Linked DNA regions of Stegostoma tigrinum. The protein of the gene in region 1 interacts with the protein of each later gene in a biochemical or structural test. Links are inferred from orthologs where the notes say so. Each region holds a gene or a part of one and is shown in the gene's direction. Other genes may lie near its edges.

Region 1 (7,074 bases):
TATGTTTCAATCAAGTCACCTCTTCTAGACCTCAGTGGATCAAGTGGAGCCTGCTCAATATTTCCTCATACCTCAAGCTACTCATTCCTTGTATCAGTCTAGTAAACCTCTGAATGGTTTCTGATGCATTAATATCTATCCTTATTTAAGGAAATTAATACTTTACATTGTACTCCAGATGAAAGCAAAGTTAGTGCAGTTGTAACTAGGTCAGAAGAACCCAATTCATTACTGGATTTTTGGAGAGGTAAAATTTTTTGATGAGGTTTTTGTACAATTACCCGAAAACACTTATAAACATCAATTTATTTGTGCATGGGATGTGGACATCAGAGGCTAGGCCAGCATTTATTGCTTATCTCTAATTGCCCCCAGGATAGATAAATGTTAACCGTGTTGGTGTTAGTGTTGGTGTGGGGTGGGGGGGCATATGTAGGCCTGGCCAGGTAAGGATGGCAGGTTTCCTTCCCTCGAAGGGCATTGCTGAACAGGATGGGCATTTTACAACAATCAACAGCAGTTACATGGTCATCATTGGACTGTTTTTTTTAAATTCCAAATACTTATGGAATTTACGGAACTTTAAGCAATTGATGTGGTGGGATTTAAGCCCAATGCAAAACAGTAGTCTGAGTTTCTGAATTACCAATACAGTATCATTGTAATTACAATTTCTAATGCATCGCACGATCACCAGATGGAGAACAGACAAACGTATGAACTAGGAATGAAGACAGGCCACTCAGTCCCTCCAACCTGCTCCATCATTCATTCAATAACATCGTGGCTGATCTACTTGTTTTGAATTCCACATTCCTGTCTAAGCCCTATAGTCTCCCGGTCCCTTTTGAAACAAGAATGTATGAAACTGTGACTGTCTCCACCACCATCTGAGGCAGAGCCGCACAGCATTTTGAGAGAAAATATCCTCATCTCTGCCCAAAATGTCCAATCCCCTAATTTTACAACAGTATCCCTTAGTTCTGGACTCAGCCACAAGTGGGAACATTCTCTCCACAGCCAAGAATTTCCTACAGCTCCTTTGATCTTTCCCTTACAACATCTGACTGTTTCTCAAACTAGTCCCAGATACAATTGTGCTTCCAAAGGACTCACTCGAGACGTTGAGCCCCATCTTCACATCTTGAACCGGAGCCCTCCAGCCCAAAGTTCAACCTTTTGTTGTCTGGTAACTTCTAGATGTTACAGGTGCTTGCCTGAAGCAGGCACTGGGCACTAAGCATCAGTGAATTGATGTTCTCATGCCTGTTACAGAGCCAAGCTATAACTGGGGCTGGTAAATGGAAAAATCTTATGTTCAACATAAGTCCATTTGCCCTGCATGGACTGGAAAGGCATCGCTAATGTGTCTTATGGTCTTATCTGAAGCAGGTTGATAAGGAAGAAAACTTATTCAAAGTTTAATTTCCGTGGAGCCGGGAGGAACCGAAGTATGTAAATACACATACCCATATAAGCTGCTGGTCATTGTCGGTCAGTGCTCAGTCCCACTGTATAGAGAATCTCTCTTGTGCTCCCTCAACAGCTGTCTAATCCAATCAATATTCCATTATTATCCAGCAAGCTACATTGGAAAACCAAACGGACATCTGCGCCTTGCAGATTTAGTTCAAGCGAGGTCTGACCCTCTGGAGGTCTCTGTCATTTTTGGGCGAGCATTCTGATGATGCCCTTCTTTCTCTTCTGTAAATGGTGTGAGTTGAATTTCCTCCGCCCTACACCCTACCATTTCTCCAAATTCACCCATTTAGACTTTTATTGAATCCTAATCCCATCACTTTAATATTCCATTCCCTTTAGATTCACTGGCTGAACCTTGTTACAGTCATTAGATTCACCCCTCTGATGATCTCTACGTGCATCCCCTATCCTTCCATTTCATGATTAAAATTTAAATTATTTGTTGCTTCTGAGTCCATACACTCAGTGTCCTATGCCCTTTCATTCCCTTTACTGTATCTCTGTCATTCCCCATCTCTGCTTTAACTCTGTTTCTGTACCTCACTTTTAACTCCAGCCATTTCTGGCAGGTTTTCCTTCTGTTGTCCCTGTCCTCTTCTCTTTACTTACTGTCTGACATCTCTCCTTTAAATCCTATTATTTCACATTTGGCCGTATTTGCGTAATGGCACTAAGACATTCATCACATGTTTCAAGATTTAGAAAGTTGGGGAGATAATTTGCAGTAGAACCCTGAGAGGTGTTCATCACTGACAGAATGCTCACCTCAAACCAGAACGACGTTCTGCCCATCCCACAAATGAGTAATGACATTCATGAATTTCAGTTGTTTGTTAGCGAAATACATAAGATTTGCACCATACTATTTCTTACCTTCTCTTCGATGTTAATAAGGTATTTGGGAATGCAGTTGCCAAACCTCTGGCATGATTCATCCGTGTGTTGCAAAGTGAGCCAATTTGCCTTGCTAAATGATCTTGCACCACTTAGGAAAAATAATGCTATTCTCTGCTTCCTACAGACAATAAAGTGAATCCACTGGTGCATAAAGGAGTAAAGAAAAATATTCTAGGGACGAATAGGCCACCATCCATGGCAGGCACCATCTCCCTGACCCTTCACTCATCCCTGGAACATCTGAACAATAAGGAAACCTATATCAGATTCCTATTTAGAGATAACACAGTATGGAGCGGGAGGAACACAGCAGGCCAGGCGGCATCAGAGGAGCAGGAAAGCTGAGGTTTGGGTCAGGACCCTTCTTCAGAAAATCATCTCATGGGTTTGACTGTTGAAGGAATATACATAAATTTCTGAAGGGCATCTGATAGAGTATTTACAGCATTTCCTGTTTTTATTTTAGCATGGGCTAAATTGATCTGGCTACAATTGGGCTCAGCCACACCAGGTTAGAGAAAGGAGGGAAAAGAGGGAGATGGGGTTATACAAGAGCCCATAATGCTGCTCCAAAGTGCTTTTGTGTGGACACTTAGAGAAGACAGGTCTGTGGTTGAATAACCTACCAGTGCATTATATTGAAGCCCCACGTTTGGTGTATTATCGAATATGCTGGTAATACCTAGTAAACCACATGTCAACAAGACTTAGGCCTTTGGGTGTATGCAGAACTGGGAAATGAATTCAACCATCATCCTGCAGCCTAGAGTTGCTGTTGAGATACTCAAATGTAGTGTGTGAAGGTGGCAAGGTGGCTCAATGGCTGGCACTGCTGTCTCACAGCATCAAGGTCTCAGGTTTGATTCCAGCCTTGGACAACTGTCTGTATGAAGTTTGCACATTCTCCCCATGTCTGTGTGGGTTTCCTCTGGGTGCTCCAGTTTCCTGCTGCAGTCCAAAGGTGTGTGGGTTAAGTAGATTGGCCAGACTGAATTACCCTGTAGAGTCCAGGGATGTGCATGCTAGGGGTGTTTAGCCATGGGAAATACAGGGATAGAGTAAACATAGAACATAGAACAGTACATAGAACAGTACAGCACAGAACAGGCCCTTCAGCCCACAATGTTGTGCCGACCATTGATCCTCATGGATGCACCCTCAAATTTCTGTGACCATATGCATGTCCAGCAGTCTCTTAAATGACCCCAATGACCTTGCTTCCACAACTGCTGCTGGCAACGCATTCCATGCTCTCACAAGTAAAGGAGTGGGTCTGCGTGAAATGCTCTTTGGAGGGTTGCTGTGGACTCGAAGGGCTGAATGGGCAATTTTCTCACTGTAATGATCTCTGTGACACATGACTTTTGTTAAGGATAATTGAAAATGATGCTTTTGCCCCAATTATTTCCTTTAGGAATGTATTTGCAAGGTTGGCAAGGACAATGGGAGACTTTCTATTTTTATTCAGCAGCATATTTATCGAAATGTCTCCTCGTCCAGCAATTGTTCAGAAGCTGACAAATACAGACCTACCCTGTCACTTTAAATTGTAATCTTCAATGATTGCGAAATACAGGAGAGCTGAAAGTATAAACTGCAGAGAGGGAGAGAGGTCAGTGCACACAGCAGCTGTTAGCACAAATTATTCACTTCCTGGATATGGAGAAGATTATCTCTACCACTGAACACTGCACTATTTGTGCAAGTACCAGCATTTTCATTCATCGCTGGACTTGAACTCGGGTAAGTTGGTTGCTCCTAATAAAATTCTGAGAAATCTCTGGAGTAATTCTGTAGCTAGCCAGCTGGACATTCCTACTGTATTACCATTATTGTGTAAGGTTCTTTTGTAGCTTATGTTTTTCTCCTTTCTAATGTTTCGTTTAAAAGCTGCATGATTTTAAGTTGAATGTTTTGAGCCTGAGAGACATGTCTGCTCTGAGACAGTGATCTGACTGAAGGTTTACTTGTTAAACAAAACTCTCTTTGTGATTTAGTGTGACTCAATACTTTCTGTTCTTGATTATGACAGGGTTTTGCACATTTTCAAAGATAAGTTCCCTTGGCGTTGAACTAACAAACTGTAATACTTTGCAAGTTTCTTCTCATGTTATTGAAAGGCCTCAAAGTGTTTCACATAGTACATGTCTTGCAGCAATTAATCTGTGCCAACTAACGCAAATGATGAGTGACTGGCTTTATTATATGGGGTTGAGGCAGCACTGTTGGCCAGGACTCTTAAAAAAGATCTTTAATTTAATAGAGTAACACCATGCAACTTTTAAAATATATTATCAAGGTAAATCGAACCTTGGTTTATTTTTTCACAAGACAGCATCTCATGAAAAGGCTGCATTCCCTCAGTTCTGTACTTTAGAGTACCAAACCAAATTAGCTGGTTGCTAATAGTGATGCCATAACTCCCATTGACGACTGAGTTGATGCAGTTAATTTCCTGTCAACCATGTCTGAAGATTGAACTGTTGAAAGTGACTAGAATGGTTTTACATGCCTAATTTTACATTATATTCTACTGCCCACCTCCTGCATTTGGCTGAAGAAGGAGTCCAGCTTTTGTTAGAACACGGTGATAATGGGAACTGCAGATGCTGGGGAATCCAAGATAATGAAATGTGAGGCTGGATGAACACAGCAGGCCCAGCAGCATCTCAGGAGCACAAAAGCTGACGTTTCGGGCCTAGACCCTTCATCAGAGAGGGGGATGGGGTGAGGGTTCTGGAATAAATAGGGAGAGAGGGGGAGGCGGACCGAAGATGGAGAGAAAAGAAGATAGGTGGAGAGAGTGTAGGTGGGGAGGTAGGGAGGGGATAGGTCAGTTCAGGGAAGACGGACAGGTCAAGGAGGTGGGATGAGGTTAGTGGGTAGGAGATGGAGGTGCGGCTTGGGGTGGGAGGAAGGGATGGGTGAGAGGAAGAACAGGTTAGGGAGGCAGAGACAGGTTGGACTGGTTTTGGGATGCCGTGGGTGGATGGGAAGAGCTGGGCTGGTTGTGTGGTGCAGTGGGGGGAGGGGACGAACTGGGCTGGTTTTGGGATGCGGTGGGGGAAGGGGAGATTTTGAAACTGGTGAAGTCCACATTGATACCATTGGGCTGCAGGGTTCCCAAGCGAAATATGAGTTGCTGTTCCTGCAACCTTCGGGTGGCATCATTGTGGCACTACAGGAGGCCCATGATGGACATGTCATCTAAAGAATGGGAGGGGGAGTGGAAATGGTTTGCGACTGGGAGGTGCAGTTGTTTATTGCTAACCGAGCGGAGGTGTTCTGCAAAGCGGTCCCCAAACCTCCGCTGGGTTTCCCCAATGTAGAGTGGATGTACAGTGGATGCAGTATACCACATGAAATGCTACACTTGCCCCCACACCTCCTCCCTCACCCCTATCCCAGGCCCCAAGATGACTTTCCACATTAAGCAGAAGTTCACCTGCACATCTGCCAATGTGGTATACTGCATCCACTGTACCCAGTGTGGCTTCCTCTACATTGGGGAAACCCAGCGGAGGCTTGGGAACCGCTTTGCAGAACACCTTCGCTCGGTTCGCAATAAACAACTGCACCTCCCAGTCGCAAACCATTTCCACTCCCCCTCCCATTCTTTAGATGACATGTCCATCATGGGCCTCCTGCAGTGCCACAATGATGCCACCCGAACAGTTTGCTGTACCTTAGGACTTCTAATAAACTGTAAAATTTCCCCTTCCCCAGATGCATCCCAAAACCATCCCAGCTCGCACCCGCCTCTCTAACCTTTCCTTCCTCCCACCTATCCCCTCCTCCCTCCTCAAGCCCCACCCCCATCTCCTACCTACCAGCCTCATCCCGCCTCCTTGACCTGTCTGTCCTACACTCACCTTTACTGGTTCCATCCTCGCCTTTTTGACATGTCTGTCTCCTCTCCACCTATCTTCTCCTTTATCCATTTGCTATCCGCATCCCCCTTTCTCCCTATTTATTTCAGAAACCCCTTCCCCTCACCCAATTCTGTAGAAGGGTCTAGACCTGAAATGTCAGCTTTCCTGATCCTCTGATGCTGCTTGGCCTGCTGTGATCATCCAGCTCCACACCTTGTTGTCTCAAATTAAAATCAAACCTCTTGCTCAAACTAATTGGCTGGCACAGTGGTGCTGATACTCACAGCTGCCTGGATTATGAGTTTACCTTTGCTTGTGGATAGTAAGATTTATTGTCAACATTGTGGGTGGAATCAGGTCATAAAATGGGTTTCATATGCACACGATGTTAGAATTGAGAAATTGTAGTTATGGAGAGGGATTTCAAGTGTAGAGACTGTTGACTGAAAAGGTTAAATGAGACTTTAATAATGATTTTGAAAATGGTTTTGATAGGAGATGTGGGGAAATTCTATGGGTAATCAGTGAGAAATGGTCACCAAAATAATCCTGCCAGCAGGAGGGTGAGGAACGAAGTGATATTAGAAACATTTCTTCATATGTATGTCCATTAGATATTGGGTTTCTTATCATAAGATGAGAAGGAGGCCATTTGGCCTGTTGTGCCTGTGTCAGCTCTTTGGAAGAGATGTCCACTGTCGTCTCATTTACTCTGTTCTTTCTCCATAACCTTGCAATTTTTGTCCCCTTGAGTTAGTTACCCAATTCCCTTTTAAAAATTGTCATTGAATCTTCTTACACCAGCATTTCACAACATACAGTG
Region 2 (6,899 bases), on another chromosome or scaffold:
TTGATGAACAGAGAGATCTGGATGTTCAGGTCCATTGTTCCCTGAAGGTGGCAACGCAGGTCAATAGGGTGGTCAAGAAGGCATATGGCATGCTTTCCTTCATCGGACAGGGTGTTGAGTACAAGAGTTGGCAGGTCATGTTGCAGTTGTATAGGACTTTGGTTCGGCCACATTGGAGTACTGTGTACAGTTCTGGTCGCCACATTACCAAAAGGATGCTTTGGAGAGGGTGCAGAGGAGGTTCACCAGGATGTTGCCTGGTATGGAGGGTGCTAGCTATGAAGAGAGGTTGAGTAGATTAGAATTACTTACATTAGAAAGATAGAGATTGAGGGGGGGACCTGATTGAGGTTTACAAAATCATGAGGGGTATAGACAGGGTGGATAGCAAAAAGCTTTTTCCCAGAGTGGGGGACTCAATTACTAGGAGTCATGAGTTCAAAGTGAGAGGAGGAAAGTTTAGGGGAGATATGCGTGGAAAGTTCTTTACGCAGAGGGTGGTGGGTGCCTGGAACGCGTTGCCAGTGGAGGTGGTAGACGCAGACACGTTAACGTCTTTTAAGATATATCTGGACAGGTACATGGATGGGCAGGGAGCAGATGGACACAGACCCTGAGAAAATAGATGACAGGTTAGACAGAGGATCTTAGTCAGTGCAGGCTTGGAGGGCTGAAGGGCCTGTTCCTGTGCTGTAATTTTCTTTGTTCTATCCGCAGTGATTTTGCTCGGGCGCAATGAGGTCTGAGATATACAAGGCGTAGAACTGGATGAACACAGCAGGCCAAGCAGTTTTCGAGGAGCAGGAAGGCTGATGGTTCTGACAGATTATATTTGAGTTTTTCAAGGAGGTGGCTAGATGTGTAGATGATGATTGTGCAGTTGATGGTGTCTATATGTACATTAGCAAGGCTTTTGACAAGGTCTTGGATGGCAGACTAGTTAAGAAGGTAAGAACCCATAGAATCTAGGGCACTTTGTCAAATTAGATACAAAATTGGCTTCCTGGCAGGAAGCAAATGATAATGAAGAACTGTGTTTGTGTCACTGGAAGCCTGTGTTCAGTTGTGTACCACCGAGTTCACTGCTGCTTTGTCGCGTACATTAATGATCAACATATGTTTGTGTACGTTTGGAGGTAAAATGAAAAAGGTTGGTGTGGTAGATAGCAAGAAAGAAAGCCTTAGATTACAGGGGGATATAAAGGGGTTGATCAGATGGATTGAACAGTAGCAAATGGATTTTAATCCAGAAGTGTGAGGTGATGTGTTTTGGAAGGACCATCAAGACAAAGGAGTACCGTTTGAAAGATAGCACTGTAGGAAGTACAGGGGATCAGAAGGATGTTAATTTGCATCATCATTTAGATTCTTGAAGGCTGGAGGGCAGATGGATAAGCTGCTTAAGGCAGCATATAGGAGACTTGCCTTTATTAGTGGAGCAAGAAGGTTGTGAATGAGTTGTGGATAACATTGATTATGCCATAGCTGAAGGACTGTGTGCAGTTCTGGTCACTACCCAATGGGAAGGAATTACTGCAAAAAAGAAAATGCAGAGGAGATTCACTAGGATGCTGCTTGGGCTGGAATGATTCAGCTATGAAGAGAGGCTAGACAGTCTAGGACTGTTTTCCTTTGGACAGAGAAGGCTGAAGGGGCTTCTGCTTAAGGTGTACAAAGTTCTTACAGTAATAAATAGTACATGGGGAGGAACCTTATCCCTAAGTCGAGGGGTCAATAACCAAGGGCACAGTTTTTAAGGGGCAACAGGTTTAAATGGGTTTGGAGGAAATTCATTTGCCCCTAGATGGTTGCGGTTATCTGGAACTCATTACCTAAGAGGTTGGCAGAAGCAGAAACCCTCAAGAGATTTCATAAGTATTTAGATGAGCATTTGAAATGCCATAGCTATGTATAATGTTCTGTCTGGGCTCGACATTGATCAATCTGTTCCGGACAGTTCTGTGGACTGGCCTCTGTCCTATCAAGCATTAGAAAATGGGAATAGAAAAGATTGGAGATAATGGGAACTGCAGATGCTGGAGATTCCAAGATAATAAAATGTGAGGCTGGATGAACACAGCAGGCCAAGCAGCATCTCAGGAGCACAAAAGCTGACGTTTCGGGCCTAGACCCTTCATCAGAGAGGGGGATGGGGGGAGGGAACTGGAATAAATAGGGAGAGAGGGGGAGGCGGACCGAAGATGGAGAGTAAAGAAGATAGGTGGAGAGGGTGTAGGTGGGGAGGTAGGGAGGGGATAGGTCAGTCCAGGGAAGACGGACAGGTCAAGGAGGTGGGATGAGGTTAGTAGGTAGCTGGGGGTGCGGCTTGGGGTGGGAGGAAGGGATGGGTGAGAGGAAGAACCGGTTAGGGAGGCAGAGACAGGTTGGACTGGTTTTGGGATGCAGTGGGTAGGGGGGAAGAGCTGGGCTGGTTGTGTGGTGCAGTGGGGGGAGGGGATGCACTGGGCTGGTTTAGGGATGCAGTAGGGGAAGGGGAGATTTTGAAACTGGTGAAGTCCACATTGATACCATATGGCTGCAGGGTTCCCAGGCGGAATATGAGTTGCTGTTCCTGCAACCTTCGGGTGGCATCATTGTGGCAGTGCAGGAGGCCCATGATGGACATGTCATCAAGAGAATGGGAGGGGGAGTGGAAATGGTTTGCGACTGGGAGGTGCAGTTGTTTGTTGCGAACTGAGCGGAGGTGTTCTGCAAAGCGGTCCCCAAGCTTCCGCTTGGTTTCCCCAATGTAGAGGAAGCCGCACCGGGTACAGTGGATGCAGTATACCACATTGGCAGATGTGCAGGTGAACCTCTGCTTAATGTGGAATGTCATCTTGGGGCCTGGGATGGGGGTGAGGGAGGAGGTGTGGGGACAAGTGTAGCATTTCCTGCGGTTGCAGGGGAAGGTGCCGGGTGTGGTGGGGTTGGAGGGCAGTGTGGAGCGAACAAGGGAGTCACGGAGAGAGTGGTCTCTCCGGAAAGCAGACAGGGGAGGGGATAGAAAAGATTGGTTGGGACACACCGGGCTGAGTGGCCTCTTTTTGTGCTGTAAAAACTTTTTCACTTCAGGATTCAGATTGAGGTAGCTATAATCTTCCCCAGACTGAACATGATGAACACTGTGGTCAGCTTGTTCAGCATACTCTAACCTGTCTTGTGGGCTGGGAGCATTTTCTCCAATTCATTCTGTCCTCTGTGTCTGTGCACTCCCATCCATTCTGTCTTGTCCATTTTCTCCTGTCTGTCCACACTAACACATCTGGCCGTGGCATTTCTGTCCAGTCCACTGTGTCTGAGTTTGTCCCCTCTCTCTGTCCTGTCCACTGTCTCTGGCCCTGGTCTCTCTGGTATGTGGATTATTCCGGGTGGGGGTTGGGGCCTCGGCTCTGGACCAATCAGCGAGCTGAGCGGTGACTCACCAAATAAGGAGCGGCCGCGCCATAAAAGGAAACATTGTGTCTTTATATGGTGGAAATAGTGCCGGGTATAGGCCGTATCACTGCTCTCCGCCTGCACGCCTCAGCCCCTAAGAGTAGTGGATTCTGCGGATTCCGAGGACGCTACTGCCCAGGGCCTAGGTGGGAGGGAGGCGAAAGGTATTTTCCGGACGGGTCAGGGAGGGTCTGGCTGAGGAGAGGGGGCACTTAGCCTGGCACTATTTTAATGTGTAGTGTAGTGTGGTTGAGAGTAATGCGGCTGAGGTTTCCTTTCCCGGTGTCTCTGGCTTCCACATTGTAGACAGTGTCCCCGGCGTTAGACTGGGAGTCGCAGGGGGGGGGGGGAAACGGAGAAGAGACCGGGAACAGACTGGGTGTGGAGGGACAGACCGGGGGGGGGGGGTCGGGGGGGGGTGATAGACGGGGGTGCACTTTGGGGGGTGGGGGGGATAGACCGGGTAAAGGACTAGGACGGATTGGGATTATTCCAAGAGCAGAACCGGACTAAGAGCGGCGATAGATTGGAAAAGACCTGGGTGAGACCGGGACAAGTGGCCCCGAAAGATAACAAGGAGAGATCGGCTCTGACTGAGATTTAGGGACTAGACCGGGGCAGGGGTCACTCTTTCTCCCCCGCTCCCGGGGGCCATGCTGCAGAGTCCGGCCGGCACCGCTCCTCCTGAGCCCAACAGCTCGTCGTCATCACCGGCGGGCAGCCTGCAGCCAGCGGCCCCGGCCCCGGGCCCGGGCCCCCAGGCAGCAGCCGCTGCCGTGCTGGTGTCCCGGGACAGAGAAGCCCCGCTGCCTGGGCCCCCTTACAGCTGCTCGGAACCCAGCAGCGACGAGGACGAGGAGCTGGTGGTCGCCTCGGCCCCGGCTCCGCTTGACAGGCGGGGGGTCAAAAGGCGCCTGTCCGACCTGGAAGCAGCGGCTGCGGCGGGCCTGGCAGGGGTGAGCGGACACGGCCCGGGGCTAGAGCCTGGTCCGGGGAGCTTAGCGCCGGCTGGAGGCTATGGGGCAGCGTCGGCCCCAGGAGGGACTGCACCAGGAGCCGGACTAAAGCCTGGCAAGAAAACTAGGGGCAGAGTGAAAATTAAAATGGAATTTATCGATAACAAACTGAGGAGATACACGACCTTCAGCAAGAGGAAGACTGGCATCATGAAGAAGGTGAGTCTAAGAGTGACTCCTGTCCTGGAGAGTGCGGGGGTCACGTTCTGAGTGGAGGTAGGGAGAGTGACTCCCGTCCCAGAGAGTACGGTGGTGGGGTTGGGTTTGAGTGGAGGAGGGGAGAGTGACTTCTGTCCCAGAGGGGTCAGGTTTGAGTGGAGAAGGAGAGAGTGACTCTGACTCTTGTCCCAGAGGGGGGCAGGTTTGAGTGGAGAAGGAGAGAGTGACTCTGACTCTTGTCCCAGAGGGGGGCAGGTTTGAGTGGAGAAGGAGAGAGTGACTCTGACTCTTGTCCCAGATGGGGGCAGGTTTGAGTGGAGAAGGAGAGAGTGACTCTGACTCTTGTCCCAGAGACGGGGTGGGTGGGGTGGAGGTGGGGAGAGTGATTCCTGTCCCAGAGAGGTGAGGGTGAGGGGGTGGGGTGGGGTGGAGGTGGGGAGAGCGATTCCTGTCCCAGAGAGGTGAGGGAGAGGGGGTGGGGTGGGGTGGAGGTGGGGAGAGCGATTCCCGTCCCAGAGAGGTGAGGGAGAGGGGGTGGGGTGGGGTGGAGGTGGGGAGAGCGACTCCCGTCCCAGAGAGGTGGAACAGGGAAATGGAGTGGCAGAGAGAGAGGAGAGGGCAAGGAGTGACTCCTTGCCTGGTTTGGGGGGAGAGGAGTGGCTCCCTGCCACAGGTAGGGGTGGGGCAGGGTGAGGGTGGTGCGGGGAGAAGAGTGACTCTTGTTCCAGGGAGAGATTTTCAGTGGTCTGCAGAAAAATAAATGTGCTCGGAGCAAAACTGTGTGTCTGTGTATGGTTTGGGTCTGCACTGAACCGTTGAAGTGTTGTGAAGACGGTTAAGGCATTCAAGAAGATGTATCTGTTTAAACAATGTGCAAGGGTTCTTTTGGTTGGGGGGGGGTTGAGGTAAAGTAAACAAATGATCCTTAGTAATGGCCCATTGGATAGCTGCCGTAATCTTAGTGGGAATGTGGGTGGTTAGATGTGGTAGTGTGAGCTGATGAGGGAGAGGAGACTGGGAAGGGAAAGTGGTGCTGAAAGAGGAGAAAGGAGTTGAAGGTGTGACTGCAGGAGAGAGCGGGTTGGGGAGGGTAAGGAAAAGAGTGGAAGGTGGAGCTAGGGCTGAAGGGAGATTGGAGATATCATTGGGGAGGTCGTTCTGCAGCTGATACTACATAGGGTCAGTGGAAATAAAAGCCCTGGTTCTATATAGCTACAGTGTTACAGACACTACAGGAATTTGTCTTTCTGTGGTCCTTTATACCCACACCACTGTGACCATAGACAACGTAGTGTGTTGCTGTCATTCTATAGAGTGACAATGGTTTTGATACAAGCACTGTACCACATTGTGTTTTCTATGGTGACTGGTGTGGTCTGCACAGTGGAAGGTAACACATGATTGTATGTAGCAACAGTAGTATTAGTGTGGACAGTGGGAGGTAATGTTGCTATGATTCTGTATGATGACAGTGGTCTTGTAGATGTATACAGAGCTACCTGATGGAGAGACAGGTGGGCTTATTGTACAGATGGATATATGTTGAAACAGTACTCCTTTTTAAGGGACCAGACCAGCATCTCATGTTTTGAAGAAAAGCCGTGACTATAACGTTAGAGTAAACTCCCTTGTCGCAGGAGCAGTGATCTTGAAGAGCTTAGCTCTTTAAGCACTGTACTGCTGGGAATGTAGTTCAAACAATCTAATTGTGAATCCGAGAGTAGAGAAGTCTGTTTGAAATGTGCTCCCAAGTTTCTAACCTTGAGTGATTCAGAAGGTGGAAACTTAATTGGTTTTAGATATCATAGATATCACATCATAGTCTTCCAGATAATATTCTAATATGGTGCATTCTTGGTGATGATGAATAAACACTGCTTTAGGCTGGCTGGGAAGGCAAGTTTTTTTTTTAAAAAGACAGAAGGAGTTAAAATTACCTTAGCTGCTGAAACACTGGCACAAGTAAAGTCATAGACTTGTGCAGCATTTGCAGACAATTCGGTTCAACTCGTCCAGGCTGACCAGAAATCAGAAATAAATTTAGTCCCATTTGCTGGCATTTGGCCCATTTCCCTGTCAACCCTTCCTATTCATATACCCATCCAGATGCCTTTTACATGTTGTAATTGTACCAGCCTCCATCACTTCCCTTGGCAGCTCATTCCATACACGCACCACCTTGAGTGTGAAACAGTTGTCCCATTTAAATCCTTTCCCTCACCTTAAACCTATGCCCTCTAGTTTTGGACTCCCTCACCCTGATCAAAAGACCTTGACTATTCTTCATTT

The links. The genes of interacting proteins can lie anywhere in the genome.
Region 2: the proteins of ETS domain-containing protein Elk-1-like (region 1) and serum response factor-like form a complex in vitro, tested with the Homo sapiens proteins (2 studies listed by BioGRID). The link is inferred for Stegostoma tigrinum from reciprocal best matches to the Homo sapiens genes ELK1 and SRF.

What each region holds. Positions count from the first base shown.
Region 1 is NC_081364.1:11,900,031-11,907,104, reverse strand, and holds the start of ETS domain-containing protein Elk-1-like, read left to right. Parts: upstream 1-4,058; 5' UTR 4,059-4,122; intron 4,123-7,074. UniProt on the Homo sapiens protein: Transcription factor that binds to purine-rich DNA sequences. Forms a ternary complex with SRF and the ETS and SRF motifs of the serum response element (SRE) on the promoter region of immediate early genes such as FOS and IER2.
Region 2 is NC_081357.1:7,496,755-7,503,653, reverse strand, and holds the start of serum response factor-like, read left to right. Parts: upstream 1-3,890; 5' UTR 3,891-4,088; coding exon 4,089-4,610; intron 4,611-6,899. UniProt on the Homo sapiens protein: SRF is a transcription factor that binds to the serum response element (SRE), a short sequence of dyad symmetry located 300 bp to the 5' of the site of transcription initiation of some genes (such as FOS).